Linked DNA regions of Oreochromis niloticus. The protein of the gene in region 1 interacts with the protein of each later gene in a pairwise test. Links are inferred from orthologs where the notes say so. Each region holds a gene or a part of one and is shown in the gene's direction. Other genes may lie near its edges.

Region 1 (16,487 bases):
GAGGGGCAAGTTAAATTCAACTTCAGCAAACTTCTGCTCCCTCGTTTCAGCGAACCTCTTTTAGACCCCCACCCCCATACGTCTGTGTCCATATTTAACTTTCGTCCTCCCGCTTTCTCTCCTTCCCTCAGGCCAGCCATCCATCCATAGCTTCTTCCTCTGCCTTCAGCCCCGCACTCAACATAGAAAGCCAAGGGTCCTGCACCCCTGTCATCATGTGCCGCAGTCCAACAGGTAAGCCTAAATTCATAAAGCATTCGTGGACTAGCTTTTAGTCCAGTTTGAACAGAATGACACGCCAGAGGTGGATGAGTTCATTTTCTAACGAGCATTTCCTTTGTTTCCTTTCCGTCTCCTCCCTTTTTTTTCTTACACAGATGGAAAAACTAAAACTTCACCGAGGTCAAACTTGAAGTTCCGCTTTGACAAAATGAGCCACTCATCCACGACTGTAAGTCCTGATACTTGTTAAGAATTTTCAGTAGGATATTTCCAACTTTTCGAGACAGAAGCTCCATAAAACTTTTAAAGAGAGAAAGTTCGACATTGAAATTAAGATAATTATGGCAGAACACTGGCAGCAATGAGAAAAAGTCCCCTGGTGTGTGTGTCTGTCTGTTTTTTAACACTTTGTCTATCTTATAGACATCTCATTATCTCTGGAACACTGTAATGTGACTGAAACACTCAAGCTGATGTTGGGTAATAAGCCCGGACTGAAAGACGTGTGCTGAACGCTCTCTCTTCTCTTTTGTTTTTTTTTTGTTCCCTCTTCTCTCTTTCAGTCTGAGTAGCTTTGGGTGGAACGGAAAAAACTCCCAACCTTGCACAATGAAAGGACAGCACCTGCTGACAGAGCTGCAAAAAAAAGAAAACAACGACAACAAAATAAAAAAGTCACAGCAACAACCACAAAATCACTGTAGAACCACTTCCCAATGCCAAGGATAACCTGACAAGGTTACCGAGTCCCCTGCACACTAGAATCTAACTGAAACTACTGTGAGTGTATAGGGAGGGGAGCAGCTGACATTTTGGCTTTTGTTTCTAACCAACCTTTAGCTGCAGATTAGTCGATACTCGCTGCACCGTTGCTCGTCCACCTTACGTGAGGGTCTTTGGCATAGCTGTGATACTGTGAGTTCAAGCCGAGCTCGGCTTTTTTTCCTCAAGCGTCTTGTTTGATAGAGAGAAACACGATGACCACCTAGAAGAATTGTGACACAAGTTTATGGCCGAACTGTTAACCTTTATCTCACTGACTGTTGAGTGCCCAGTGGAGGAAGAAAAAAAGAAACCATCAGCCATCAGGATGTATTTGCCTTCGCCCTTGAACGGTACATCCGGAGACAAAAACTGCGCACAGAAGACTCGCAGTAGCAAGACCTCGGAGGCGCCGCCACTGGGAGTCTTCTCCACTGTGCTCTCTGAGCTTGTTCTTTGCATAATGTAAATGCTTTTTCCAGAGAACAGGTTTTGATTTCGACGAGGCTTTTTGTAATCCCGCTAGCTGCTGCATTGTGTCTACTGCACTATAAACGTGACGCGTCTCCTCCTAGGACAGCATTTCTGTATCCGTAGGGGCAACTTCATAGCCCTGAACTCAAGAGCTCGGCTAGGGACACAGCAGGGGTGGGGGGTGGGGAGGGGCACTGCCAACACATTTTGCCACAAGCTTCTTTTAGCCAAAGCTGCGCCTTACAATCTATCACATCACACACATAAAAAAAAGCCCTTTTTGCCGCTGACACCTTCTTTCTCAGCCTCCGTCTCGTCTCTGTGCGTCTCACTATGTGAGAGGACGGGGATCTGGTTACAGCACAGTTGTAGGTAGCCGATCTACACCCACATTTGCTCAAAATAGATGTTGCACTCAGTGAAAACATTTCACCTTCTGATACCTCCCATTGAAACTCTCTAGCTCGGTGTATCGGCGTGTACGTACGGCGGCTCTTTAGGACATCTCCAGGGTTTTTCCCAGGATGTGAGCTGATGAGGACGACTTGAAAAATATGAAGTTCAGGTTATAACAAACCACCTATGAAGTTACAAAGAACACTTTGAATGTAAACTATGAGCCTTTAAAAAAAAGGACTTAGCTGTTGCAAAAATGCAAGTAAAAACTGCAAAGTCAGGTGCTCGCAGGCACAGCAGGACCACGGGTCTAATCTTCAACTGACATTAGCCTGGAAAAGAAGCATAAAGACACACACATTCGCTTCCAGTGTGACCAAAAACAATCAAGCTGGTGTGTGTTAGGAAGAATGTCGGTGTAATCTTACTGTGTAGGGAACAGTTCCTGTAGTTTAGGCTGGCCTGAGAGTGTAAAAGGTTTAATAGCTAGGTTCACCCAAATTACAAACACCCTCTGTGATTTACATGTAGGTCACCTTTTAACTTGCCAGGAAGCTGTTCTAACTTGAGTAGTACCTTTCTAATTTATCAGGACTAGAGGCAGGCGTGTTGCCTAACACACGCTGCCCTCGGTCGGTGATTACCTCGAGTAAGGGAAGCAGGGATAGAAATCCTCTGGGGAAGTTCAGATGTCATATAGTTTGTAGCAGGTGTCGCCTAAAAAAAAAATGCCCTGCAGCCTTTCCTTTGTTAATACGCTTAAGTTATTAAACTTTTTTTTGCATCGATGTCATGTAAAAATTGTTACTGCAGAGTACGCTAATTAACGGTAAAATGATTAAAGGAAATATATTAAGTTAAAAGATGTCTAAACATGTATATGTATATTTGGTTATGTAATGTGCCATTGAGAATTTATTCTAAAATAAAATGTTGTATTTTGTGTCATATTTGTGTGTTGTTTCTGGTTTTCTGTTGTTGTTTTTTTAATGCAATCTCTCCACACGGGTGCTTTTCTTGTCTATACTTTAATGTGTAATATACTTGAACACGTGAGGGAAGTTTGTTTCACATTTTGTCGACACTGCAGCACCTTCACATTATTCTGACAGCAGTTAATGTGGTCACATTTTAGAACAATACAAACCAGAAGATCTGTGAAATCATCTCACAAAGCAGAGTCTGCTTACTGTAGCGCCTCAGCGTGGTACAGCTGTGCGATGCAATATCTCCTTATTATATGTAACATTACATGAAAGTGATCCTTTTTTAAAGTGGCTCTTTTTCTGGTTCCTACCTAAAGTAGTCCCATACAGTCCTGTGGAAAAGTAAGTCCACACTGTTATTGAATAGCTTTCAAAATCACCTTTAGCAGCAGTAGTTTGAACATATGAACTTTTTTAGTCTCTCACATCCTTGTTGAGGAATTGTGGCCCACTCTTCTTTACAGTGTTGCTTCAGTTCATTGAGGTTTGTTTATGCACAGCTCTCTTAAGATGCGGTCGCAGCATATCAGTCGGGTTGAGGTCTGAACTTTGACCACATCGTTGCAACACATCAATCTTTCTCTTTCTCAGCTGTTCTGTTGTAGATTTGCTGCTGTGCTTGGAATTATTGCCCTGCTGCATGACCCAGGTGCAGCCCAACTTTAGCTGTCACACTGATGTCCTCACATTCTACTGTACAATAATTTGGTATTCAGGAGAGTTAATGATTGACTCAATGACTCCAAGGTCCCCAGGTCCTGTATCTGCAAAACAAGCCAAAAACATCACCCCTCCACCACCGTGCTTGACTGCTAGTATGAGGTGTTTGTGCTGATATGCTGTGTTTGGTCTTTCTCAAACATGGTGCTGTACATTACAGCCAAACAGCTTCACTTTGGTCTCATCTGTCCAAAGAACACTGTTCCAGAAGTCCTCAGATTTATTCAGATGCAATTTCATAAACCTAAGTCGTGCTGCTATGTTCTTTTTAGAGAAAATAAGTTTTCTTGTCATAAAAGATCCAAAAAAGCCATACTCATCTGTTTTTGTTCGTTTTTATCCACATCTAACCCAGCCCGCTGATTCTGTTATGTAGTTCTTCCCGGCAGCAGCAATTGCTTCTTTAAGAACATTGCTGATGTCTTCCCTCCTTGGAATTGTGTTCACACACACCTGAATGCTCCAGACCTCCACACTGCCAAAACCTCTGCTCTCATAGAGGCGTTCACACCTGGTGATCAGCTTATCAGATGCATTTGATCAACTCCACCTAGCTGCTACTTACTCTTTTAATTCCTATGGAAGCAGCAAAGGTCTTCTTAGTTTTTCATAGGACTGCACAGAGTCCCAAGAAAACCTTCTTACAGGACTATACATGTGTTTTGGTTTTTTAGAAGGAAGCTGCATCTGTGGTGAGAGGCTCCTGCTCAGTGTGACAGTATGGTAGGAGATAATAAGTACAGGCAATTCCCTCTCTCCTCCTGTCCTGTGTTACTAGCTAGCTGCTGGCTTGTTTCGGTCAGGTGATGTGGCTGGCGGTTGTAATTTGGCAGGAAGAGTAGTTCCTACATGAAACTGCTCAATACAGGGAGATTCAAACAGGGAGATTGAAACTAGCACCTCACACCCTCTCCCCCCAAAGGTTCTAGATGGAAAAATAGCAGATATGGGATTATTTTTAATTCATAAAAATAATGCATAACTCCATTAGGGGTTGTCAAATCTGAGGGATGAGTAGACAGTTGCAGACTGGGCAGGCTGTCTCGTGGCTCTCTGCTGCTTCAGTGCACCTTGGGAAATCACTGCATACATCACCTGTAACAGTGTGAAAAGTAAGGGGGTGGGGGGGAGGGGGGGCAGTTTAGGAGTTGCAAGCCTGTCAGCGAGTTCACTATGTTCAAGGACTGTTTTAAAACAGTACGTTCACTTACTTCTGGCTTCCTCTTGACTTTAGGTGGAGCTGCAAAAAACAAAAAAAAGAAGAAGAAAAGACAGCATGGTAAAAATTGCAGAGTATTGCCTCATAACAGGTTAACAAAAGGAAATACACAGGATATACCTTTGGGAGGGTATGCTTTGCATTTCTGTGGTACCGGGCATCGAGGTGGAGGTTGAGGAGCCAAGATGGTTGGTTGGGTTGCGTATGGAACTTCGTATATGACCTGTGCCCTGGGAAGTGGCTGTGGTTTGACCTCTGAGCTCAGACAGCGAGCCAATTCCAGGATGATGGGAAGGCAGAGTAATGCACAAGCACAGATCAAAACCCTGTGCAGGAGTTTCCTTGGAGAGGGACCTGTGATGAGAGCTATATGATGAGGAGGATACATGACAAGCAGTAAGACCTGCTGGCCAAAATGCAGATGCACTGTGATGCACTTCAATATATGTCATTCTCTGTACCTGCGGTAATGTTCACGTGCGTGCGATGTCCATTTTCACTTACACCTGTATCCCAAACAACCATGCATCCATAGGAACCTTCATCCGACTGGTTGACACTCTGGATGTTTAAGAATAGCTTTGTCTGACTGGCTGAAATTGTCTTGTTGGTCAAATGGTGTCTCTCGCTTTCCTTCACAGGCTTCCTAAAATCATATGTTGAATTTTCCCACATCCAGGCAGCGGTCCAGTTGTTTCCACAGTGCTGAACTACACAGGACAATGACAAGCTGTCCCCTTCTGGCACATAATCCATATCGCGTTTTGCCAAAATACTAAGTTGGCATTCTTCAGCACAGAGACCTAAAAGAAGGAATTTAGATTTAAGTCACTGTAGGGGAACGTGAATGTGTAGCCAAGGAAACTCGTGCAGTTTGGTGCTCCTTTGTCCCAATCTGGTTAGATTATAACCACTAAAACGCATTAATAATCAGGGAACATAAACACACACGCACATGTTTTTGTTTAACTTGGTACATCTGCTAATTTCCATATGCAGTGAAACACACGTCATGCAGAATAAAACACGCATATGGCGGCCACATTTAAAAGGCACGGAGCTTAACAAACATTTCAAAGAACTAGACGCACGCAGTGCGCTTTGGCATGACCGTGATTACCACAGCTTTTAAGGCGAACACATGGCAAATGGCATCTTATTATAGAATACTGCAGATGGAGAGTTCACACGAGCGCTTTAACAAACAAAAACAGTCAAATAAAAGGCAAGAAGAGAGACTTTCCTTTATGTAATGAGAACTTTGGTCAGAGTTTCAAAGAGATCACTTACCAGCTTGGAAGATACAGACGAAGCAGATGACACCGAGGAGATAGGTATACATGTCTGACTGTAAGGGTGTGTTTAACGGTGTTTTTGTCTGCCGTTCATCACTTCCCCTAAGAGAGTTTGTGCTTACGTTTTACGACTGATTCTTAAATGCTGCCACACTTTCTGGAAATCTTAGGGAGCGAGTGAGTGGGATCACGGTATTTCACTTTCTTTTACTCAGTAATTATATTGTCTTTCCTTTCTCCTGCTGTTGTTCCTATCCGGTCAGAGATGAAGGAAGTGAACACTTACCCATACCTGAAGGCACAAGCACACACACGCAAAACTGAAATACGGGAAGCAGTGATCTCATGAACAGGAATATAAAATTTCCTGCAGGAAAGGGGCCGGCTTCAAAGAACTATAACATGAAGAGACAAAAGAGAACAGAAGCCAGCAAATCCTCCTCCTTCTCATTTCTGTGCAGGTCTTGATTAACATTTTAGTCCAGAGACCTTGATTAAGGCATACATGGCTGATTATGTGGTTATTTGGAGTACAGATCTCTGACAGCTGAGGCTGAATAGCTCGCTACAGCTCGGTGGTTTTCAAACTTTGGCATATCCCACTTCAGAAAGCACTACTCTTACTAAAAATAAATAAATAATAAAGAAAACATTGAATATTGTAAAAAATTAATCATTTTGGTAGCGTATAATTGCTGTATATGATAGAAGGGGGTTAATAGTGTGAGACAAGCTTGCAGAAATAACTTTTCCACAAATACACTATATTGTGTCACGGGGACTCGAGTCCCCGTGGCACCAAATACTAGGAATACTAGGAACGACCCACTTGCATTGGCTGCATAGCTTACCACTGTTACTATAGCGAAAGTGCTTGTATTCTCTTTATTTCAGAAAATAGGCTGGGGAGTTTTTTACGATTACGTTTCTGTTGTACTATTAAGCGCAGGTAGGGATTTTCCACTCGGAGTACAACTGCAAGCCCATTCCCAGCGCACATCAAGTCTTCAAAGTAAAAGCTTTGGTTACCTTTGAAGACAAACACTATTAAGCAAATAATGGGCTGTTAAAGAATATACTCGCATGTAAGTGATTTAAGCACATACAGTCCTCATTTTCTGCTATGTCCTATGTGATGTTTGTGTCGCTCAAAAAGCGCTGCGCGTGATCTTATTTTGAAAACCGGACGTTTCGTATGCGGTAAATCTTTCAGTTTTGACTTTTGGGAGCGCTTGTTTATCGTCCACAGCGCTGTGCAGGAAATACAGAGGAAGTGAGAACGGTGCTTCCTTTTGGAAAGAAACTCAAAAAACGACAGACGCCAGTAGTAAGTGTTATGACTTTAGTATAATTTAGCCCGCATTTACAGCTAGGGTTATTATTCATGCGATTTAGCTGAGAAACCCACAGAGGCTGAAAATGGTGGCTAAAGTTGAGTATATCTAATGTTGTCCCTTTGTAACATGATTTGCATACATGGGTTAAAAGTGTTCACACTGAACAATTACTCCCTTGTAAGCTTCCAGGAGAAAATGTTGGCTAATTAAGAAAACAGTGTACAAAATATTTGTTTTATTTCCTTACTTTATTACAGATAATGGTTTTTTATTTTAAGCTAAATTTTGAGTAGAACTAGTAGATTTTATATTCTTGAAAAAATAAAGAGTTAAATACGTGCAGTACAGAAGTAAATGTGAGCATGTGCCATTACAAAGTATGTGAATCGTCTTCCATGACTTCTACAGTCATTGATCGTCTTCATGAGCTAATGTAGTCTACATTGTTTTCAAACCCCGCCCAGCCGCCACGTCAAAGACCGAGCCAGGAGCCCATAAACGAGCGCACCCCGTGGTTACACTGACAGACTGTCGGTGAATGAGATAAACAAAGAGCCGGCTACTTTCCAGGACAACAGTTGACGCTCCTCAAGCTTCTCGGCAACATGGAAACTGGTAGGTTAAATGTCACTGTGTCCCCTCTCAGTGTTTGTGGCTGCCTCGATGAGTGGAGCTTGCATTTGGTTGCAGGAGAATGACAGCTGACCGAGCTAACCCGTGCTAAAGTTAGCATTCACTGCGTTAGCATGCCAGCCTGCTAGCACGACTTTATGCCGTCCATCTCTCTGTGAGCTAGGTTGACAGTTCACCCCCCCCGACGGGCTATGGGGTTGTCAGCACGGTGCCAACATCACAATCTTAAATACATTAATCCTGCTCCTCTGCTCAGGCGTTAGGAACTCTTTCCAGGAACGGGATTTATTAGCCAGAGAGTAGCTAGCTCGTCTTGGAAATGCCACAGTGACTCTTTAAAGTCGGGGCCATTCATGGAAGTGAGAGTTCTGTTTGGGGAACCCTGCTTTTTACCCGAAAAGAGAATAGTTTCATTTATTTTTCAGTAGATCTCAATAACCACCCAAGTCAGCCGAGAAATACTCCCTACTTTGTTTCACACCTCTTTTTTATGCTTCTGGGCAAAGGTCGACTTTGAACTTGAACCTAAGATCTGTGTTAGCCAGGTGCTCTGATTTACACCGCAACATTTAACAATAAAAGATAAGTTGAAATTAAACAAATTAAAAACGTTAAGAATTTCAATATTGTCATTTTTTTTTTTAATTGTAAAGTTGACAGCAACAATGACTACCTCCTAAGCCTGTTTCCTTTTTTTTTTTAAAGTCTGTATTCCAGCTTTATGGAGCAGTGACGGTCATAATAAAGTGCTTGGGTAATGTAAAGCCAGCTGTACGAGCACTGGTGTGTAAATTTGCAAGTCACCCTGGCTGCCTGTGCTTGGCCCCTCTCCATAGAAAGCCACCGTGATCTCTGTCCTCACCATTCATGCCCTCAGTTGTTGACTAAAAGCCTGGACAACTAACTTTATTTGGGCTGAGTCTTTCCCGTTTCTTCACACACACGCGCGCACACACTCCCATCAGATATTGTATTTAAATAAGCTGCTGGCTTTTACTATTACAGGCTGACCTTTTGACACATGTCCTCATCATCTATCCATACTGATCAATGTCATAACTTTTAGCTGTTGTGGCTTAAGGAAAACCGTGTTGCACTGACACATGACTGAGGCCGCACTCCCAGAATACTCTTTGCCTTAGGCTGGGTTCTACATTTTTTTTTTTTTTCTCCCATTTTTCTTTTTTTGATAACGCAGCAGCTAATGAGATTTGACACTGTCCTAATCTGTGATGGTCAGTGCATTTGAGCTTTGTGTTGATGGAAAATAACAGAATGCAGCTGAGCAAGAGGTTTGAACTCGAGGCAGCATGCATGACTAGGCAATGTCCCTCTCAATGTTTAATTGCTCTATGCTATTATTTGACGGAATAAAACACACACACACACACACACACTAGTGCCAGTTTGATTCTGTGTGTGTGCGCGTGCACACCCCTCCTTACCCCCATCCAGTGGGACTGGACAGGCTTTCTAGTGCGTTCCTCTCACAGATGGAGCCAGATGAGTGATCCCAGCAGCCAGCTCTGACCAGCCCTCAGCTCCCTGGGGCAACTTGTAGTAGTGCTACTACAAAGCTTTCTTCATTTTTGTCCTCTTTTGCTGGTACTGCCTCTCCATGTACCCAGAATATTCTTTATCAGAGGGCTAATCTTAATTGTATATGGTACCCTTTATAGATTCCAATGTAATCTCTGTGTGGACTGTGGAAAAAAGAAGTGAAGCACCAGGCGGTTATGGTGTTCAATAAAGCATATGCTCTTAGTTTATGACTATCGATCTGGTGTTAGAGGCATCATTCTGACATCTGAGTGCGTGAGTACTCGAAAGATAGCTCTTAAGTGGGAAGTGCACATGCTTAAACCGCACAGTTGAGTCATGGGAATTGGAACAGTAGGAAATTCCACTTTTGGATGCAGACAATGTGTCTGAATGTCTAGCCGTGTAAGCTTTTCTATAATGTCCTAACTTTATTTGTCCTCCCTCTCCTTCCCTTATTTTTTTTTCCCTCTTCCCCCTCACACTCCCTGTCTCCCACTTCTTGTTCCTAAAGGTTTGAGTCAAGAGAAGGTAGCCACCTTTGTTAAGCGGATGCGGTCTGAGCCGCGTTACCTGCTGGCCCAGAATGTGTCAACCTGCATCGACCCGTTGGAGGTGTGTCTTCACCGGCAGACTGTACAGGATACTGTGCACATCTTCCAGCACTCTATTCCCACAGAGGGCAAGCCCATCACCAACCAGAAAAACTCAGGTAGGACATGATGTAATGCAGTTACATACACATGTACTCTCCACAAGATGCATTTTTAAAGTGTTTGTATTAGGGCTGAATGGTTTGGGTAAGGTGTTCCTGAAATGCCCTGTTTCAGGGGGGGACTGGCCATCGCCCAAAAGCAAGCAAGCAGTTTATTTATATAGCACTTTCAGATCAGCCCCCAGCTGAACACAAAGTGCTGTACACTTGACATGCCAAAAATGATACATTGAACATGTTAAAAAAATTAGAAAAATAATAATAATATAAAATAAATAAAATGTGTGTGTGTATGTATATATATGTATGTATGTGTGTGTGTGTATATATATATATATATATATATATATATATATATATATATATATATATATATATATATATATATATATATATATATATATATATATATATATATATATATATATATAAATAAATAAATGATTATTAAAATAAATAAAATTAGCACAAATAGCAAAAACAATAATAAAATAGTATTAAAAAAAAATGATGATGAGAATTACATTTAAAACAATAAAATTAGCACATTAGATTAAAACAATAAAATCAGGGTCAGACTGTGTCATAAGCCAAGGAGTAAAAATGGGTTTTAAGACGTGTTTTAAAAGTGGACAGTGAAGGGGCCTCTAATGTGCTGGGAAAGATTGTTCCACAGATTAGGAGCAGCAATAGAGAAGGCCCTGTCCCCTCTGAGCTTTCTCTTGGACCTGGGTACCTCCAGGAGCAGCTTGTCAGCTGACCTGAGAGACCTGGGGGGTGAGTAAGGATGCAGAAGCTCAGAGAGGTAAGTTGGGGCAAGACCGTTTAAACATTTAAACACAAACATGAGAATTTTAAAATGAACTCTAAGATATACAGGCAGCCAATGGAGTGAAGCCAGGATGGGAGTTATGTGCTCTCTTTTACGAGTTTTGGTTAAAAGTCGTGCAGCAGCATTTTGGACCAGCTGCAGACGAGAGAGAAGATGCTGACTAACTCCACAATACAGAGCATTACAGTAATCTAAACGACATGAAATAAAAGCATGGATTACCGTTTCAAGATGCGGCCTGGATAAAATAGGTCTTATCTTTGCCAAGCGCCTTAGATGATAAAAACTGGACTTGACAGTAGCCCTAATTTAAAATCACTGTCCATCTTAAAACCCAGGTTTGTAACGACAGATTTAACATACTCTGCCAGGGGTCCCAAATCAATAGCGGAGGGTACACAAGGTCCACTAGGACCAAACAGAATCACCTCAGTTTTGCTTGAATTACATCTTAGAAAGTTTAGGGACATCCAAGATTTAATGTCTTCTAGACATGCTAGAAGTGGCTTAATAGAGAAGGCCTCTTTCTGCTTCAGAGGCAGATAAATCTGACAGTCGTCAGCATAGCAGTGGAAGGATATTCCATGCCTTCTGAGGATGGTTCCCAGGGGCTGTAAATATAATGAAAAAAGCAGAGGCCCTAAAATTGAGCCCTGCGGGACCCCAGACTGAAAAGTGGCAGAGGAAGACTCATACCCTAAAAAGTTAACACTAAAAGTTCTGTCACAAAGATAAGACCGAAACCATTTCAAAGCAGTACCACGAATGCCTGCAAGATGGTGCAAGCGAGACAGTAAAATGTTGTGGTCTACAGTGTCAAAGGCAGCTGTTAGGTCAAGGAGGACAAGAACAACATGATTACCAGAATCACAGGAAAGGAGGATATCATTAAAAACCTTTAAGAGTGCTGACTCCGTGCTATGAAAGTTTTTAAAACCTGATTGAAAGACCTCCAGGATACCATTCTCATTTAAAAAATCCATCAATTGGCAGTGTACAATTTTCTCTAAGATTTTAGACATAAAGGACAACTTGGAGATGGGTCTGTAACTAGCCAATACAGTGTGGTCCAGGGCAGGTTTCTTAAGCAAGGGTTGTACTACCGCATGCTTAAAATTAGCAGGGACTACACCAGATATTAAACTGCTGTTTATAACAGTAAGAACAGCCTGGCCTATGCTAGGAAAAATCTCCTTAAAAAATTGTGGTGGGACAGGATCATTTGGGGAACCAGAGGGCCTCAGGTGGCCAACCACATCCTCTAAATAAGAAAGAGTCACAGGCTCAAACTGGTTAAAAACAGCAGAGCAAGGGATCGAGACAGAGGGGTCAGACTCAGGGGAAGAAATGAGAGCCCGCGTGGTTGCAACCTTCTCAATGAAAAAACACATAAAATCATTAGACAGTTTATGCGAGGCCTCCAAACAGCCACTTTGTGGAGCATTTAAGACTGAGTCAATAGATTTAAATAACACACGTGGATTGTGACTGTTGGAGGAAATGATCTTAGAGAAGTATTTTCTTTTAGCCTCTTTGACTGTATCCTGATAGAGGCGCCAGCAGTCCTTTAGGATTTGAAGAGACACCTGCAGTTTGTCCCTCTTCCATCTGCGTTCAGCTCTACGACACTCCCTCCTCACAGCCCGAGTGACGTCATTAAACCAAGGGTCAGTTTTAGCCTTGGGCTTCCTGGTTTTTAATGGTGCCACAGAGTCCAGAATAGTAAGGCAAGAATATTGAAACCAGGAGCTGAGGTTCTCTGTGTCCAAGGGAGTACGATTGGCGGGCATAGACAGCTGGTTAAAAGCAGTTGCGAACTGGGCAGCAGTGGAAGGGTTAATAATCCGACAGCGGCGAACAGGAGCGCTGGTTTGAACTGTAGTGCGTGAAAACACAGCATCAAATAATACAACCATATGGTCAGAGAAAGCAGTGTCAGTCACTTCCACGTTAGACACAGGTAGACTGTGTGACAAGACCAGGTCTAGTGTGTGTCCGTGTTCATGTGTGGGACCAGGTACGGACTGGACCAGATTAAAAGAGTCAATGAGGCTTAAACTCCTTCACCAGAGGTTTATCAGGGCAACAGACATGGATATTAAAATCTCCCACAATAAGAACATGATCGTAGTTGGGCATAATCCCAGCTAGAAATTCTGAAAAGTCATTTATGAAATTCTTATTGTATTTAGGGGGATGATAAATAACAGCAAAGAGCACAGAGTTAGAGCGACTGACTTCAAAACACGTGAGCTCAAAGCTGGAAAACGAGGGCTGTAAAACACAGTTTACATTTAAAATCCTTTTTAAAAACAACCGCCGTACCTCCTCCTCTCCCTGATGTCCTTGGTGTGTTAAAATAGGAACAACCCGCTGGTAAAAGTTCAGATAAAGTACTGGACTCACCAGTGTTAAGCCAAGTCTCCGTGACACACATGAAGTCCAGTTTCCAGGAGATGAATGACTCATTCAGAATAAAAGATTTGTTCACCAGCAATCTGGCGTTTACCAGCCCAATCCTGACAGGAGCCGGGGATGAGGTAAAAGCCCCAGCGGCACAGGGAGTCCGACACAGCGGCCTCAGATTGCGGAGGTTCGCCCGGCGCACGTTGAGCCGAGGGGGACAGGGGTCACGGAGGAGCTGCGCATCATCCTGGCAGACCACGGGGATGAGGCAGGAATCCACGGGGTCCAGGAAACGTCGATGCACAAAAACTCCAGGAAATAATCTCTGTATTCCTTTGACGGTAGTGGGATGGTGCGCTAAAGAGATCTTGAGTTTAACCAGCCGACCACTGCGCCTACCCCGACGTCTTCGCCGGGGAGGTAGCATGACTGCACGGCATAGGCAAGTCGGGATATGTGACAGCAGCGGACACCATGAATTCTGACCTCCGTTAGAAAATGGAGCTGTATTTTGTCCAGAACTTCTGAGGTTCAGAAGCGATTGGCGATCGTACACCAGTAATGACCCGATTTCTTGAGTGACACACGACAGGAGCAATATAAAAACAAACAAAACTGACAGCGACAGACGAGCAGCCACGTACACCGGCGCCATCTTGGTCAGTATAGACACTTTAGAGTTTAGACACTTGGCACAAAAGGATTCAAGTTTCCAGCCATGTGCCCTTCACAGTGCCAGGTGGATGGCAAAAGTGATTTATGAAATCCCAAAACTATAGTCAATGATCACTAGAGACCACCTGATTCTTTATGCTCTTCTTTATGTGTCAGAGTGCCACTTATTGTCTGTTTCATTTAGAAATTATTCCCATTTTTAGTTTTCATTGTCAAGTTTGCACCAGCTGCCAGTCACAGATGCTCAGAATGTTTACACCTTGTTTGATGGTGATAAATAAACGTCTATGTGCAAAATATTTAGCAGTAACTTTTTATTAGAACATTTCATTTATGTATTTAATATCAAGAAGCACGTGGATAATTTCTACATTTGCATTTGGATGTATTATTCTGGACCGTTGTACCTGTCAGTCAACCCAAACAGCTGCTTAAGACACTGAATTCAGTAATGTTGTACATTTGTCCTCACAGCGACATTTTACAGTTCAAACAATAGACAGTTAGTGATGTCATTTCTGAAGCAAATAGCAATTTATATCATTAAACATTTCTAGCCAAGGTAAATATGGTGAAGAGCATAAATGTAGATATAAATTGTACACTGGCAACACTGATAAGATTAACACTTCCTGAAGTCTTGAAATTGCTACAGTGTAGTAAAGTGAATCTGATCTTGTCTTGGCTCTGGTGAGAGGCACAAGTTTAAAGTACATGGTGTGCATTAAGGACAGGCGGTTGTCAAGAACTTCAGCTAATAGACTTCAGCTTGGTCCACGGGTTTGTGCCTGTAATGTTTGTAATAGTCAAAACTAGGGATGGGTATCGAAAACCGGTTCTTGTTGAGAACCGGTTCCCACTGTTTCAATTCCTTGGAATTGTTTGCCATTTTTGCAAACGATTCCCTTATCGATTCCAGTCGCCCCGAATGACGTCACCACGTTGCGGCGCGTCGGAGCTTACCTGGCAGGAAACACGGCGCCTAAGCGGCTCAAACGCTGAAAAGTTTGGTTATACTTTACTGGAATGGATGACAACAGGGCAACTTGCAATACTTGCAAAGTAGATATTTCATTTAAGGGAGGGAACACTACGAATATGCAAAAGCATTTGCTCACAAAACACGCGATGAACTTAAATGAATGTCGTGTTTTTAATTCCGCTCCGGAGTCGTGAATCTCAACCCAGCAGCAGCGGTAACGTTTGCACGTCCTCTCCCATTAATGCAGCAGGTAAATAATCAACTAACAGTGCATATTATGTTAGCGCGATCTGCTTTATTATAAAACCTGCCATTACTGTGCATTTAGGTGACCATGATGAGAGAGACAGAGTCTGGCTGGCGCTCGCTGGCAGTTGTCGCTGCAGTCTACCGGTAGCGTCTCTTTTCAGGCCCGAATGTCACCGAGCAGTGACTAAGTTTGTGGTAAAAGCCTTGCAGCCATTTGCCACAGCAGATGGTGAATGTGTTTAATTGTAGGCAGGGACATTACTGAATATTCTTGTGTAATTGCTACAGAATAATTTATGTTATACTTTGTTATTGCTACAGAAGAATATTTATTTTATTATTTTACATTTACAATTTTCCCCGGGGACCCTGTGACACCACTTTGAAGAGCCATAGGCTGTGGATCTCTTAAGATCTCACTGTTGGGTTTGTAAGGCCATGTTACTCCTAAATTTCTATCTTGTTCAAAGAGAAGATATAAAACAAAATTCTAAGCTAATCGACCTTAGTGTTCTCCTTTTTAAAAATAAGAATCGATAAGAGAATCGATAAAGAATCGAATCGTTAAACCGAATCGAAAATGGAATCGGAATCGTTAAAATCTTATCAATACCCATCCCTAGTCAAAACATTACAGCTGATTCTTTACTCAAATGGAAAAAGATTTTCTATGGCAACCCCTAAAGTGGGCAGCTGAAAGAAGAGGGTTTGACCTGTTGCCTACCTGTTTGAACAGTTGTCGTGTAAAACATTGCATTCATAAATCATTTCTGTACATAGCTGGACTGGAAGCAGCATTACTTTTTATTTCCTTAACCCTCTCAAGGCAGGCGTTGCAGATTTGCAACAGTTAAAACACTAACAACCTGATTAAGCCACATACATATTTTATGAGTGGTTTTTTTTGATAATTTTCCCCAAATATCAGATTTTTCTTGTAACTAAAACTTAATTTGAGCCTGAGAGGGTTAAATTGTTAGAGGGACTGTATGTAATATGCAGGGGTGCACAGAAGTGGTCCACAGGTGCGCATGGGCTGTCAAAA
Region 2 (16,487 bases), on another chromosome or scaffold:
ATGATTATCATTATTACAATGTGGACAATTGAACTCCATGAGCTGACCAATCTATTCAAATTCAAACTGCTGTTTCCTCTAGATGTGAACTGGGGTTCATCCACTCAGGCTCTGATCTACAACCAGGCTCTGACTCACTGCCTGAACCTCACCGGAGTCGAGGACCACGTTAAAAACTTCAGGTCAGCATGAAGCTTTGAGCGGAGCTGAACTCATGGACTAAAAATGACTTAAGTGAAACCAAACCTTACCTCTAACTCTAGACATGCTGACCTGGTAGATGTTACGAGGTTAACTCTCGGCACTCGTTACCAACACAAAGTAACAGTCGAAACTTGGCTCTAACTGAATTTAAATGATCAAAATTTAATCCAATTTAAAAAGTAATTATTTAAACCAAAATAACCTGACTTCTTGTTTTAAAACTACCTAAACTTGACCTTCTGTATAAAATGTATATTGACAGGCCGCAGTGTTTGGTGTTGGCGGGTTATCCAAACGCTCGTCCGGCTCTGCTTCAGTTGGTGAATTCTTTCACCAAGAACGTCAGCCTCATGGTCTGCAGTCACGTCAGAACTGTACGTACCAAATGTCGTCTGTTAGGTCTGCATTTTACGCTTTCTTTCACATGGCTGAAACATTTCGTGCTTCATCTCCTCCCACTCCAGGTGTCCCGTCGGTCGAACTTTAGGGAGCTGTATCAGGATTATGCCCGCTGTCAGCGCTACCTCAACAAAAAACGCATCAAGGCTTTTTATGCTCCTGTTTTTTCAGACAACTTGAGGCACGGAGCTCAGTTACTCCTGCAGGTACAGAAGGAGGCTTCTTTTTGTACCCTTCATCTTATATTGAAGTCACCATCTACAAATATGTGTTTCCTCCCCATGCTAGGCTGTTGGTTTAGGTCGTCTGAAACCCAACACACTGGTCATGGGTTTCAAGAACAACTGGAGTGATGGAAACATGAGAGATGTGGAGAATTACATCAACACTATACAGTAAGGGCTAATGCGCCTTTTTAAAGAGCTACCAACAGCCAATTTTACAATCATACTGTTTTTTGTAGTGCTGTCAGCGTTAATCTCGTTAAAATGACGTTAACGCCATAACCGCATTAACGCGGCGAATCTCCGTTAGCGAGTTAGCACGGATCGCCCCCTAGTGGGGCTGCACGGCCTCAACGCGTTAGCACAGTTAACTCGTTAACGCGTTTGTGCCGTCCAGCCCCACGCACTGGGCGATCAGCACTAGTTTTTGTTTTTGTTTTGTTTTTTCGGTGGGAGCAAAAACATAATTATATGTTGGGATCCTTCTCATTTTCGAGGCGAGCATCAACAGGATTTTAAATATAAAGAGGAATCGCCCCCAGAGTCACAGAGGGCCAAGAACAAGGCATGAAAATATCACAGATTTTTCATGTAGGCTCTCTCTTTCAGATCGTAATGTTAAAGGTTAAGGTTTAAAAAATGGACTAATCTTTGTCTTTCATGCAATTTTGCAGCTGAGGTTCTGCATCACACTTGGAGTCATTTTTGTATAGCGTTTTATTTATTTATTTATTTTTAATTTTAGTGATGCCTTCGACCTTCTGTTTGGTGTGGTAATCCTGCGGCTGCAGGAGGGACTTGATATTTCTCACATCCAGGGACAAGGTACGTCTGTCTTTTTCTTTATATCCATCACTTTGTCTACCTTCTGTTTATACTGTGCTTGTATCCCTGCAGACGAACTGCTGTCATCCCATGAGAAGCCTCCAGTCATCACTAAGGATGTGTTGATTTCTGTCATTCCGGCTAAAGACTCCGATTCTGACTCCTGTCCTTCAAAAACCACCAGCAACCAGAGCAGCCCGCTCATCACGAGAGGTAAACAGTGAGGAAGAATTAAAATTATACCTCAGCTTAGCCGATTACTCTAATGTTTATTTTTCATACAACTCTCACTGTCACTGAACTTGTTGTTCTTATATTTTGTTCAAGTATTTCCATTTTAATCTATTTCAACTTCTGCTTCAGTACTTTTAGAAGGCAGCTCATCATTAGCAGTGAACAAAAAAGGAAGAAATTAAATTGATCTCTTTTTCTTATCAGCCATGTGCTATGTAAATTATTTAAAATCAGCAGTGATTGAAATTGGCTGACTTCTAGCCCAAAAGACATCTGGCACAATCCCTGCACAGTCTCACGGCTAAGCTTGTGAAATATTCCACTGATTTATGTTTCTAGCATTTTTCTAGCAGCTGGTGATACAGCCCAGGAGCTTTTGTGTTTCTTTGACCTTACCTTGTCTCATACCGTGCTCCTCCATGTGACGTCGCCTACCAGAGACCAAGTCTCCTCTGAGCCTGACTGACCAGCGTCTGTTGGAGAGCAGCCAGCAGTTTAAGAAGAAACAGGGCAAAGGAACCATTGATGTGTGGTGGCTCTTTGATGATGGAGGTTAGTGTTCTCATTCTTATATGTAAATAAAAACATATTTGATGAACAGACTTTGGGTTCCATGATTCTGTCATGCCATTGACACTGTCATAAAAAGTAAGGTGAAAAATTAATAAGCTTAAAAAACCCATTCAAATCTGTGGTTCCCTGATCTATACTGGAAAACAGATTTTTGTTCAGTGGGGTTTTTTTAATGACCCGTATGATCTCTGATCTAAGCTCGTGTGTTGGTTTGCAGGCCTGACTCTGCTGATTCCCTACTTGCTGACCAACAGGAGTAAGTGGGGCGACTGCAGGATCCGCGTGTTCATCGGCGGAAAGATCAACCGCATCGACCACGACCGCCGAGCGTGAGTCGACAGCTGCTTATCTTTACTACGAACTTGACTTTATATCCACATACATTTAATTTATTATTGTGTTATTGTTTTTATGTCACGTTAGGATGGCCACACTGCTCAGCAGGTTCAGAATCGACTTCTCTGACATAAACGTCCTCGGTGACATCAACACCAAACCCAAGAAACACAAGTAAGGCCTCTGAAACTTCCTGAGCTCAGCAGCTTTCATCACTATGGATTTTCTCTATTGTGTTTTTAATGTCTTTAGCATCTGTGTTACTTGCGTAAATTGCTTACAAAGTGTTATAAAGCCAAAGTCAAAAGGTGAATGATTTGTTCATGAATTCTTCTTTTTTTAATATATCGATTATTTGATGACTGTGAAAGTCAACATGTAGAAAGTTTGTAATATTAAAAATTTAAGTGCTTTGAAATATTTTTTAAATGTTATTTTAGAATGAAGCATCATGTGGAGAGGATGAAACTGATAGTGCTGCTCTAAAAACCTAATGAATGTGTTACTTTACAGTAAGCTGACCTTTAAGGAGCTGATCGAGCCGTACAGGCTGAAGGAAGACGACATGGAGCAGGAGGCTGCTGAGAGGCTGAAGGCCCAGGAGCCCTGGAGGATCACTGACAACGAACTGGAGCTGTACAAGGCCAAGGTCTGTCCTCATGTTGCAGACACACTTAGACCAATCACAGTGCTCTCTTCAAGTGGTTCATGTAAATATACTGTGTGTTACTTTCAGACCAATCGTCAGATCAGGCTGAACGAGCTGCTGAAGGAACACTCCAGCACTGCCAAACTCATTGTCATGTAAGAACTTTGTAATAACTTTTTCATCATTTGTTTTAATTTACTGACAAACTAGCATTTAAAAAAACCTGGTTAATATGAGCACACAGCTGTCTGTGTTGAACTGGTGACTTGTCCAGTGTGGACCCTGCCTTTCGCCTTGTATCGGTTGGGATATGTTAAAGCATTCCCAGCGTCCCTAAGTTAGATAAGTGGTTATGAAGCTGGAAAGCTACCAGTGTCAATCATTAATTGGCAAAATAATGCATGACAAGAAAATCCCTTCGTGAATGGACACTGCTTTCTGCAAAAATGAAATAAAACCATAAGACGGTTAGTGGGACGATTTAATTAAAAAAATTAATTAAAAATTAAATTCTTAGAACTATGAAAAAGAACACCAGTGAACTTATAAAAGCCTTGGACATTTAGCAGATACACCAGGGGGATGGTAAAGAAGAACAATCTCCAGGAGAAAGGCATAAAGTTCCAAGGTCAACCATAAAGAGAAGGCGCCAATGAAAGAAAAAAGAGAGGATTTACCACAACCATTCATCAAACTCAAGAACAACAAGGCCAAGTTAAACTTCACCAAAACACCTCTAAAAAGGCTCCAGCAGTTCTGAAGCAGCATTCTGTCTGTTCACGTCAACCTGTAACAAAGTCAAAGGAGTTTGCAAAGAAAGGCGTCTGGACTTCTTTAAGTTGCTTGAAGACGTTTCACCTCTCATCCGAGAAGCTTCTTCAGTTCTAAGGTCAAATGGCCGAGAGTCCCAGATTTAAACCCAGTGGGAGTATCCCCCCAAGGAGGGACAAAGAACCCCCTGGTGATCCTCTAATCACATGCGCCAAGGTGTGAAAGCGGGTGTGGGACCTAATCAGCCAGGGTTTCGGGTGAGCCCATTGTGAAACCTGGCCCCACCTTGTCATGTGAATTCCTGAGGTCAGATGGCCCAGGATGTGAGTGGGCGTTAAGGCGTCTGGGGAGGGAACTCAAAACTGGATTATAGATGGCAGACAGTTGGTGTCGTAAACCACCGCCTCTGTTCAAAGATGGTCGCTCACAGTGGACATAGATGGCCTCTTTCACTCCTCTTTCAAACCATCTGTCCTCCCTGTCCAAAATGTGAACATTGGCATCCTCGAAAGAGTGACCTTTATCCTTAAGATGCAGATGGACTGCTGAGTCTTGTCCTGTGGAGGTGGCTCTTCTATGTTGTGCCATGCGCTTGTGAAGTGGCTGTTTGGTCTCTCCAATGTAGAGGTCCGGGCATTCCTCGCTGCACTGTACCGCATACACCACGTTGTTCAGTCTGTGTTTTGGAGTTTTGTCTTTCGGGTGAACCAGTTTGTGTCTGAGTGTGTTGCTGGGTCTGAAGTACACTGGGATGTCGTGCTTGGAGAAAACTCTCCTGAGTTTCTCTGATACACCGGCTACATAGGGGATGACAATGTTGTTGCGTCTGTCTTTCTTATCCTCCCTCGCTGGTGTCTGATCTTCTTTTCTGTGCCTCTTTGCTGACTTTATGAACGCCCAGTTAGGATAACCGCATGTTTTCAGTGCTTCCTTTACATGTGTGTGTTCCTTCTTTTTCCCTTCAGGCTTAGAGGGAACATGTTCTGCCCGGTGGTGTAGGGTCCTAATTACTCCAAGTTTGTGTTCCAGAGGGTGATGGGAGTCAAAGAGGAGGTACTGGTCCGTGTGTGTGGGCTTCCGGTAAACTTCAATGTTGAGGTTGCCATTCTCTTCAATGTGCACAGCGCAGTCCAGGAAAGGCAAACAGTTATCCTTTGTGTCTTCCCTGGTGAACTTGATGTTTTTATCCACGGCGTTAATGTGCGCAGTGAAGGATTCCACTTCTTGTGTCTTGATTTTGACCCAGGTGTCGTCTACATATCTGTACCAGTGGCTGGGTGCTCCTCCTTTGAAAGAGCCAAGAGCCTTTCTTTCAACTTCCTCCATGTAAAGGTTGGCTACAATAGGTGACACAGGGGAGCCCATGGCACAGCCATGTTTTTGTCTGTAGAAGCCTTCGTTGTATTTGAAGTATGTTGTGGTAAGGCAGAGGTCTAACAGTGTGCAGATCTGATCGGGTGTGAAGTTGGTCCTGTCTTCCAAGGAGCTGTCTTCTTGTAGTTGTTTTCTGACAGTCTCCACTGCCTCCGTGGTGGGTATGCAAGTGAAGAGAGAGACTACATCAAAGGACACCATGGTTTCATCTGGATCCAGGGTAAGTTTCTGGACCTTGTCGGTGAAGTCGGTGGAGTTCTTGATGTGGTGTGGGATGTTCCCCACGAGAGGTGTGGGGAACACATCTATAATCCAGTTTTGAGTTCCCTCCCCAGACGCCTTAACGCCCACTCACATCCTGGGCCATCTGACCTCAGGAATTCACATGACAAGGTGGGGCCAGGTTTCACAATGGGCTCACCCGAAACCCTGGCTGATTAGGTCCCACACCCGCTTTCACACCTTGGCGCATGTGATTAGAGGATCACCAGGGGGTCCTTTGTCCCTCCTTGGGGGGATACTCCCACTGGGTTTAAATCTGGGACTCTCAGCCATTTGACCTTAGAACTGAAGAAGCTTCTCGGATGAGAGGTGAAACGTCTTCAAGCAACTTAAAGAAGTCCAGACGCTTTTCTTTGCAAACTCCTTTGACTACGATGACCTGGATGACTGAGAACCTTCACAGACAACCTGTAACAAAGTGACAACAGTGTGGAGAAGTCCTGGAACCATTCGTGATCTGAAGCATACGACATCATCTGCAGCAGACATGGTGTGACGCATGGGCATGCATGGCTTCCAGCACGACCTGGCCACGTGTGCAGCAGATTGTGAAACATGTTTCGTCACAGTATTAAAAACTGCATTTTATATATGACTGTGTTAACTTGTCCAATTACACTGGAACCCAAAAAACAGTTATCCCGAAGATTTAAAGTTGGGAAAGTTTGACTATATCTTAAACTTTCATACTGAAGAAATCTTAAAATGCTGATGACACTCAGGGAACTTCAGAAGCATTAAAATGGATGACCCATAAAGCTCTGAGCTCCATAATTCATAGTTAATGTTTTATAAGCTGCTTAAAGCTAATTCAGTGAAGTTAATGGAAAAACAAACAAATATAGAGTTAAAATAGTGAGACACGGAGTGTAACTCATCGTAGCTGTTACATATAAAGTAAATTAGACTTCTCACATTGAATTTAACATGTCAAAATAATTTGACCTTTAAGCTTACATTAACTGCTCATAACTCATAATTACAAGATCATGCAGTCTTCTTTAGCTTTCTAATGCTGCTCTAGGTTTGATTTTGATATGTATAAATATCATAAAAATTGAATTTTTCTTTCTCTATCTGTGTGTCTAGGAGCATGCCTTTGGCAAGAAAGGGCACAGTGTCGAGCGCCCTCTACATGTGCTGGCTGGAAACTCTGTCCAAAGGCCTCCCACCACTGCTGCTGGTGCGAGGAAACCACCAGAGCGTCCTCACCTTTTACTCCTAACGCACACACACACACACACACACACACACACACACACACACACAGAGTCATATACCTACTCTGCTCACGCACAAACATACAGTGTGTTTTGCTCTCCATATTTATTACAGTATGAGAAAGCCTCCATCTGCACCAAAACAGAAACGTCGTGATGGTTTAAGCTTGTGAAACTGTTCAGCTGTGAAGGAAAAAATTATTAGACTAATTTTTTTTTTCCATTTGTCTTAAATCGATTGTTTTTAACATGTTAATTAAATCCGGTCAACATTTAGATTTGACACTAACACTAACAGGTTGCTTGTTCCGTTTCCTCTGTGAGTTTTATGTGAATGAGAGTAACTACAGGTAAATTCGAGTAAAAGTTTATTTATAAGGATAAAAGTTTGGATTTGAGAATGTAAGTTTTTGTGATTATAAAATGACATTTGTATGTTTTTTTTTCCCACCTGTGTTCACAAAGGGAGAGGCTCCGTCTTTGTTAACTTTATTTTGTACTTTATTTTAATAAAGGATTAACTAAAACATATGCTTTATTCAAGTTTGGTTTTTGTCAGCTTTATTCCTGTTCCTGCATTAGTGAAGTACTTAAAGTCAAAATCAGAATATAATCTCATCCTCAGCAACTTTAATCTGATGACACAATTCTTCAGTGAAGGGCTGAAAAAAACAATTAACATAAACTCTTTTTTTATTTATATAAACTCGGTTAGATAGTGGTATTATAAGAGGTATAGTAGAACAATGCATAACATATATACTCACTAGCCACTTTATTAAGTATACCTTAGTATAGTTGGACCAGCGTTTGACTTCAGAACGATCTTCATTTTTCGTGACATAGATTTAACAAGATGATGAAAACAATCCTCAGAGAATTTTGTCCATGTTGACATGATCGCTTCAGATTTGTCAGCTGCACATCCATGATTAGAATATCCTGTTCCAGCCATCAGAAGAGAAGTATACTGTGGTTTGGCCCAACCATGTGAATGTTGCAGCAGAAATGAAGACTTATCAGACTAGGCAACATTGTTTTTAATCTTTCATTGCCCAGTTTTGTTAATACCATTTTAATTATAGCTTCAGTTTTCTGTTCTGGAAGCAGCACGTTGTGTTGTGTATTCAGAGATGCTCTTCTGCATAACTTCTGTTGTAATGACTGGTTACTTAAATTATTGTTTCCTTCCTATTTTCACACAGAAAATTGATGGTTACTTTCTGATGATTACGTGGGAACCTTTCTGTTTCTAATAAGTCAAATCAGTCTCTCTGACACCAGCAACCATGTAATGTTCAAACTCATTTTAATTACCTTTCAGTGAGATTCTGATGCTCAGTTTGAACTTCAAAGGGTCAACTTAACAATGGCATTATGCCTAATTGCAATAGTTTTCTTCTATGTAATAATTAGAGGACTCAGTTAGTAGTAATACTCAATATAGTGGCAGGTGAGAGCATACAGGAGGAAGCAATTTTACTATGTAAAGAACTTTAACATAGCTTCATTCTTGTATGAGAAGCCTTTATAAGTCGGAAATACTACAGCGCCGGGAGGACCTGAAGGCAGCACCACCCATAATCAGCGTGGTTGTTGCTCTTGAACGCACCTCGTAACATTTTCTCCAACAACAGGAGACGGAGGGGAAGTGGACGCCAAGCGAAAGGCAAGAGATGACGCTTTAATAATCTTTCACATGAAACTCAACGTGAAATGTGAAGTTTGGTCTCCTTTAAACGAAGCTTAAACGGCGAATGTCGCTCCTGTTCGTTCGTGTTTTCGTTTCCTGAACTGTTAGTGAGACAGAGCCGGTATTCAGAGGCCTTTTAAAACCACATGACAAACAAATATTGTGTCCAAGCTTAATCTTCAACACTGTGGGATTTATAAAAGCACACCTGCAATTCAAGGTGGTTCCTGTAAGTTCATTTCGCAACCATTGCTGAGGTCAAAGGGTTCAGTGATTGACAGTTCGATGCGCTAATGAGACAGGGAGGATTAATTAAAGGCACAGTGTAGAATTGACGCTGTAGGATTATTTACTTATTTATTTTGCTAAATTATAATTGCATTAATTCATGTATTTCCTATTTTTATTGTTTTCAGAAAATTACAACATTTGATCAAAAAAAATAATTTGTCAGGCACTTTTTTCAAAATCACTAATTTGAAATAGTTAAAAATATTTTAAAATTAAGTGCAGTTGTCAAGTGAATGCGATTAAAAAATATTTTGACTTGATGTCTAAATCTTAAAGAGCACAGCGATGTCAACTGAAGTGAACAAGGGTCAAGCTGTTCTTTACAGTAATACCGGTGAGTGCCACAAGATGGCACAATTAGTTACCGTAACTTGGCCAAATCATTCAAATGTTCTTGGGTCTAACTGTTAGTAAAACAAGAGCAAAATGTAGTTGTTTTCCGTATTTTAGTCGTTCTCTGGATGTTGTATCAAACCACTCAATAGATGGAATAGAAAAAATAGCGTTCTAGTGACATGTTGGTATTTATTTGGGTCAGTTTTGCTGTTGTACTTTGTTTTTTCAGCATTTTAAACTGAGCTATATTTTAAGGTTGTTAAACCCAAATTCCCATTTCTTTACATTAATCATCAATCAATTATTCAAAACTTTTTACCTTTTTATCTGTGATTATTTTAGCTCTTAAACCAATACTTGTAAAATAACATTTCACTTTCATTTTTTAACATTTATTTGTAGCTAGCTGCTTCATCTGTTCATAATATCTCCTCTGACATTTTGCCAGATCATATATTAGCACAGGTTACATTGTCTTTGTCTCCGGATCCAGGATGACGAGCTATCAACTGAGCGCGAAGGAGGACATGGTGGAGAAGTTTCTGGATGCTGCAGCAAGAGGAGATATGTCCCAGGTGTCAATATTGCTGTCCCACGTGCCCTCGCTCATCAACCAGACAGGATACAGCGGCTGGACCGCGCTAATGCTTGCAGCTCGCAATGGACATTCTCATGTGGTGGAGAAGCTGCTGTCACATGGGTACATCACTGCATTTCTCTTAATTTGTAATGTTATTAATGTACCATTTGTTAAGTGAACAATACTAAAGAGAGATATTGTGGAATATTTTTTCAAAGCTGCACTAATAATTTTTAGTATTTAGGGGATGTATCTATTCCACATGTGTTACTTTTAGGTAAACATTTGCAGACTTGATGGGCAGAAACATGCTGCAACAGGAACTGACAAGCATTATGAAAAGTGGCTAAAGCTAGGATTTAAAATATTTAAAGAAACTGAAAGTGCAAAGTGAACAGGAGTCAATTTCCTTATTTGTGTGCACAAACTTGGCCAAATAAAGATGATTCTCTTTCTGAAACAAATAAATGAAGCTAGAATAAAACTTGGCTACACACAGCTACGTTAAATTAAAACTTATTAAAAATTAAATAGGAGTAGACTGAAAATAAGAGAGAGATAAAACTGTAGCTAAATTTATTCAATGAAAAGGATTTAAACTAGGAGGTATATGCTAAAATGATATTTTAAAGTATAAAACAAGGCAAAATAGGGATAAAACTAGTGGTGAAAATACAGTACAATTATGAGTTGCAAGAAGACCAAACAAGACTAAAAGTAATAAACTTGCATTAACAGTGTGATAAGGCAAAAACTTTTAGTGAAAGAAATCAATATAAAAGCTGAAGAGACAAAAATAGTCGCAAAAAAACCCATTTAGGATAGAAAAACCTCCTCAAAGAAGCTATAATAAGCAGGTACAGAAAAAATGTTGGTGCAATTTAAATGACAAACATCTAAAAACTTAAAAGTCTAAGTTGTAAAGAGCCCCAAACTTTGATATGTTGTAGCCTTGAATGTATAAATGGATTCCTGACTTCTCTAAAACCTCTTTTTTGTTTTATTCTACTTTTTAAGCTGTGATAAGTTCATAGTAAACAGTTCATCACAGACCGCCTATGATGTTGCCAAGTTCTGGGGTCACAAACACATCGCTAACCTACTCTGCCAGACTGACGATGGCTGCCGGCGAGTCCTGCAGGGCTCTGACATCAGTCCACAGGAAAACTACTTCAGCAGGGAGACGCTGGACCGCCTGAGTGGGAAAAGGACTGACAAGGCCTGGTTGGAGGCCAAACAAAGAGAACCAGATACTGTCTACCTCATATTCTCGAACCTCAGCCCCATGGTCAGCACATCCCAGGAAGACGACGGCGCAGCGGTATGTTTATAACCTACAGCCTACGGCTAGTTTAAGTGATAAAGATGAAAGTCTTGTGAATTGTGAATCTGATTGCAACAGGTTGAGAGCAAACTGTGTCGGTTCAGATATGAGGCAGTTAAGGATCTCCTACAGAAACCTGCAACTGTGCTCATTTTCCTCGGAGTGGAGAAGAGGAAAAATCCCTCCCCTTCCTCTCCTGAGGAGGGTATCCGGGAGGCCCCTGCTTGGTTTGCTTTCAGCACTGATGAAGATGCTGCTGACCTTGTTAAACGGTGCAGGGAGAAGAACTGCTCCTTTCCAAAGATGCCAAACAGAGACCTGCTGAAACTAAATGAGGAAGAGGCCGGTGAGACACACAAAACGTGTGTTGTTGTTTGATCACCTGCCTCTCTTGTATGAGGGTATAATACTTCTTCCCGCTCTCCTTGTCTGCAAGGGATCGTGGCTCAGGCTCGATCGGTGTTGGCCTGGCACGGTCGCTACAGCTTCTGTCCGACATGTGGCAGCAGCACCAAACTGGAGGATGGAGGACACAAGAGAAGCTGTCTGAACTCTGAGTGCAGGAGTCTAAAGGGGGTCCACAATACCTGCTATCCACGAGTTGGTATGACTCTGCTCATCTATCAGCTCATCGGCACTGTAGTTAATACTGTGTACCATCATGCTGTGCACAAAAAACATGACCAAAAAATGTAAAAGCTAAAAAGAACAGAAAACTGTAGTTTCTCCAGTGGCTTCTTGAGGCTTGCTCTAAGTCAAGTCCTACAGACCCCCATATTAAAAAAGCCCATGGGTGCCTGTTAAGCTGGTTGAAGACACAGCCGTATGCAGCAGCCTGGGCATGATCCTGACCTGTAGCCCTTTCCTGTGTTTCTTCCCTGCTCTCTTGCCCCTCTTTGCTGTCCACTCTTTACTGTTGCAATGTCAGATAAATTCAAAAATGTCCCTAAAAAAAGTCTTTACAAAAGCCCAACAGAAATAGATATGTTCCCAGCCTGGGGTTAAATATAGTTTTTATCTCTATAGCCATTTCCTTTTTTATAACAAATGAACAGAAATGTAATATTTTTATAATTCACCTGCTTCAGTTTTATTAATGTTTGACGTCACATCATATACTATAGTAGGTTTTGCCCACTCTGAGTAACAAAGTTTCCATATGTTTGTGATTTCAGACCCAGTGGTCATCATGCTGGTGATCCACCCAGATGGAAACCAATGTTTACTGGGAAGGAAGAAGGTCTTCCCAGCTGGGATGTTTTCCTGTTTAGCAGGATTTGTAGAGCCTGGTATACCACAAACTCACACACACACAGAAAAACATAAAAACTGCTCAGCTGTTAAACAACTGATGTGTGCCTGAAGCTAATCCTCACAGGAATATTAACCATAAATCAAGTCTCAGCTATAAAAATTAGGGTGACAGCTTCTCCCTGTCATACCCCGCAGGGGAAACGATTGAGGATGCAGTAAGGCGGGAGGTGGAGGAGGAGAGCGGCGTGAAGGTCGGACCGGTTCAGTATGTCTCCTGCCAGCCCTGGCCAATGCCATCCAACCTCATGTTTGGCTGCCTTGCTGTTGCCATATCAACCGACATCAAAGTGGATGAGAATGAGATAGAGGAAGCTCAGTGGTTCACACGGCAACAGGTAAGTAACAGTGCGACTATTAGTGGAACTGCCAACAGGGATCATGATGTTAAGAGTTAATAATAAGTCTACTGAAGATTATTTTATAACAACAGTCTGGAAACTGTTAGCATCAGCTCCAGTTACTAGAAATTTTCCAGAGCTTTCATGCATTTCCATGGCCAATTCTTCTAATGCTTAATAATGAACAATTCTAGACATTAATGAGACAGAAATCCAACTTTTCTGCTTGTTTAGGTGATCGACTCCTTGTTCAGAGGAGCATCTCCAGCTTTTAACATCCCCCCAAGGCAGACCATCGCCCACCAGCTGATCAGACATTGGATCGGCATAAACGCTAATCTCTAACAGAACACCTTCATCATTCCACCTCCCGCCCAGCTGAGGAGGTTCGATGGATAGGAACGAATTTGTCCCCATTGAATTGACTCACCACATTCTTCAGATTGTACACGTTGTGCTTTAATATCAGTTTACTGCGAAGCGACTTCCACGCATGTACAACAATCTCAGGTTTGACATTTCACCTCGGAAATATCTGCAGTACGATGATTAAATATGGAAGAAGGAGCGTGCTCTTCTTCATTTGCCCGGGTGGACAAATGATAATAAAAGTTTGATTATGTAAAGTAGAATTCTCTTCATTTGTTTTATAATAAAACACATTCAACTTTCCTTTAATTAAACAAAACATTTTTTACAAGAAATGTAATCTCAAACATCCATACATCCATTTTCTGCTAAACCATTCAGAGTCTTCGGGGTGGGGCCTTTTGTTTATTTTTAAATTTTTTCATTTACGTTAATAAGTTCATTAAATCTAAATATGTGAGTAAAATTACATAATTGCTGGATTATTTCTAGGAGTCAAAATAAACTTCAAGTATTAAATAAATTGCTCAAAGTAAGCCATTTTTGTTGTATGGGGCCTTTTTTTCCCAAATATTCCAGCCTATATATGGAATTTTTAGATGCCTTATAATGGTTACACCTGAACATTGCATATCTGCAAGGATGTGCCTAACATTTCTCCCTGAAAGCTGAACTTCAACACAACAGATCAACTGATTTATCTCATTCATCCTTGCCTATGTCTTGATGCATTCTCAATCATCCAGGAAAGTAAATCTCCAAAAGTTGAATCTGTTCATCTGGACGTAGCGTTTTGTGGGAGAAACGTTTCGTCACTCATCCAAGTGACCTGCAGTCAGCTGAGACTGAAGAAGTCACTTGGATGAGTGACGAAACGTTTCTCCCTCAAAACACTACGTCCAGATGAACAGATTCAACTTTTGGAGATCCTTGCCTATGCTTTGCATCCTTCTGTCACACCGTCTTCCTCTTTTCCTCCTGCCTAGCAGCTCCATACTCGGCATCCTATGTGCATCTCATCCCCTATCACTCTTCTACGCTTGTCCCAACCATCTCAACCTTGAGTGACAGCTCATTTCTAATCCTGACCTTTCTGCTCACTTCCAATGAGAATCTTAGCATTCTGGATTGCAAGAAGTCTGAAGCCTATCCCTAAATATATAAAGGTTACCCCAATGACTGGGTTACCCTCAACAGATACATTTTATATATTCCCAAAGTTAATTCAGAAAACAAGGTTGCTTCTAAAACAGACAGTGATTTTGTCTGATTCTCTTCAATGCTCCTGTGATTATGAGCCATCTGTCCCTTGTACATTCATAGAGAGAATGGTTTGCTTTATGAGAAATATATTGCAGTTTGGAGTCCACCGGGGCGTCCCTTTTCAACAATTGATTTAATAACATTCATGAAGAGAATTTCTAGATGTCTACAAGGAGTGGAAGGTGTCAAATTTGGATCTAGACTCTGCGTTTTGCAGATTATATGGTCTTGCTGGCTTCATTAACCAGCAAGACCATCCAGCTCACAGTAAAAGCAGCCAGTAGAAGTGGTTCAGTATCTGACTAAGATGCCACCTGGTGGCACTGACGATGCCTCAGTATCTTTCTAGAAGACTTGGTTGTAGCTGAAGAGGGGCTAAAAGAAAAAACTGGGCACTATTTTCAGTCTCACATGGAGCCCTATAATGATATTTCATAATAAGACTCCAATGGAGCATTACTTTGTCTGTGTCTTGTCTGTCATTGCATATAAGGTCTTTCTAATGACTTGTCTGGTTAAATAAAAGTTCCACTGCCGTCCTGCAACATTTTGTGGTCTGAAATGGTGAAAAGTCCAAGTTATATCTCTTCTGCACAATATAGGATATTTTTGAACATAGCGTATAAGTGTCTGTTAATGATTTGAATTACTTGTACTGTACACTGCTGGGTTGCTTTATCTATATTAGTGCAGCATAATGCAATAGTAGATTAACATTTTCAAATTTGCAAAATAATTAGTAACCCTTAAAATAAGTGGTACAAAGTAAAAGTATAATGTTCATAATCAAAACATAGTGAAGCAGAAGTAGAGAGAAGAACATGTACTTCAGTTAAGTATTTGACCAATTTGACCAACATGAGCCTGACAAACATGGAGTAACAATGATCTTAGGATAAAAGGAGGCACTCCTTACTTATGTTGCTGTGGAACTTTCTATATTTTTTTATACAAAAATACCAAAAAAACAAAAATGCAGACCCAATGAATTATTTCCCTGTGTCTGCCCCACAAGACAGGCAACTGCTTTCCTTGCTGTAATAAACCTTTCGGCCACATCTTATCGAGCTCATTCGTTGCTGAGTCTGTCTCAATGTGTTTTCACCCCTGTGCCACTGTTAGAAATGTAACCTGCATCACAGATCAGATAAGAGCAGTCACTCTGCCTGCCCCAATTCAACACGTTCTCTGTCTCACAGGTCATCGGATAAACAGGCTGACTTTCAGTCGACAAACCAGGAAAGTAACTTTTCACAGCAGCCTCGGTCTGATGTGATATCTCGGAGATGTCAGCCTGATTTCTGTCCTTGTCGCTCTGAGGAAGCCAGAGCTTAGTTTCGTGCAGCGGAGCGCCGGCAGCCTCTTGCTTTTCCTCTGATATGAAAACCTTGATAGGAGGAGGGGACTGGTTCTCTGTGGGTTGTGCACTATAAGAAACATACTCAGAGTCTAGAGTGAGGCAGCCAATCAACAGCAGAGAGGTATCCTCACGCTGGTCATCATCTGGTAAGAGCTGAGAGGTTCGCTCAGCTATGATGAGACTTTTGTCTCTGAGGACATCAGTCACCTGGAAGTCTTCAATATTAAGGATGCTCCTCTCTGCAAATTTCTGTTGAAAAGAATGAATGAGTGGTCATTTTGTGACTGACTGCTGTAGCTTTACATATATTTGGTTTTTTTTAGATGTGCAAATCCTTTGTGGTCATTTTGTCAATCTTAGAAGTTTTCTTGTTCCTGTTTCTGTATGGTGTCTTTGCCATTCCCACTGTTGTCTGTTTATTAGTATCCACAGTTTTCAAGATATCATGTTCAAATTTTGTGTGATGGTAGATATCATTAACAGGTGTTTTTGTTATAATTAGTTGGACTAATATTCTAAATCTGAGTC

Evidence for each region.
Region 2: the proteins of blmh (region 1) and nudt12 interact in binary tests that used the Homo sapiens proteins (3 or more experiments, as listed by UniProt). The two-hybrid records come from large-scale screens. The link is inferred for Oreochromis niloticus from reciprocal best matches to the Homo sapiens genes BLMH and NUDT12.

The regions. Positions count from the first base shown.
Region 1 is NC_031979.2:10,710,251-10,726,737, reverse strand, and holds the start of blmh (bleomycin hydrolase), read left to right. Parts: upstream 1-7,273; 5' UTR 7,274-7,401; intron 7,402-7,875; 5' UTR 7,876-8,016; coding exon 8,017-8,026; intron 8,027-10,097; coding exon 10,098-10,295; intron 10,296-16,487. Other genes in the region: rap1gap2a (rap1 GTPase-activating protein 2a), read left to right, coding at 132-234, 378-451, 786-794; uncharacterized protein si:dkey-52l18.4, read right to left, coding at 4,548-4,655, 4,772-4,800, 4,900-5,145, 5,241-5,582, 6,070-6,121. UniProt on the Homo sapiens protein: The normal physiological role of BLM hydrolase is unknown, but it catalyzes the inactivation of the antitumor drug BLM (a glycopeptide) by hydrolyzing the carboxamide bond of its B-aminoalaninamide moiety thus protecting normal and malignant cells from BLM toxicity.
Region 2 is NC_031977.2:32,252,641-32,269,127, forward strand, and holds nudt12 (NAD-capped RNA hydrolase NUDT12), read left to right. Parts: upstream 1-8,623; 5' UTR 8,624-8,760; intron 8,761-8,811; exon of another isoform or gene 8,812-9,013; intron 9,014-9,904; 5' UTR 9,905-9,905; coding exon 9,906-10,111; intron 10,112-11,008; coding exon 11,009-11,312; intron 11,313-11,393; coding exon 11,394-11,661; intron 11,662-11,751; coding exon 11,752-11,919; intron 11,920-12,490; coding exon 12,491-12,604; intron 12,605-12,764; coding exon 12,765-12,964; intron 12,965-13,201; coding exon 13,202-13,312; 3' UTR 13,313-13,401; intron 13,402-13,542; 3' UTR 13,543-13,976; downstream 13,977-16,487. Other genes in the region: solute carrier family 12 member 2, read left to right, coding at 83-182, 467-578, 669-809, 892-998, 1,573-1,652, 1,725-1,865, 2,325-2,438, 2,677-2,788 and 4 more; interleukin-6 receptor subunit beta, read right to left, coding at 15,690-16,208. UniProt on the Homo sapiens protein: mRNA decapping enzyme that specifically removes the nicotinamide adenine dinucleotide (NAD) cap from a subset of mRNAs by hydrolyzing the diphosphate linkage to produce nicotinamide mononucleotide (NMN) and 5' monophosphate mRNA.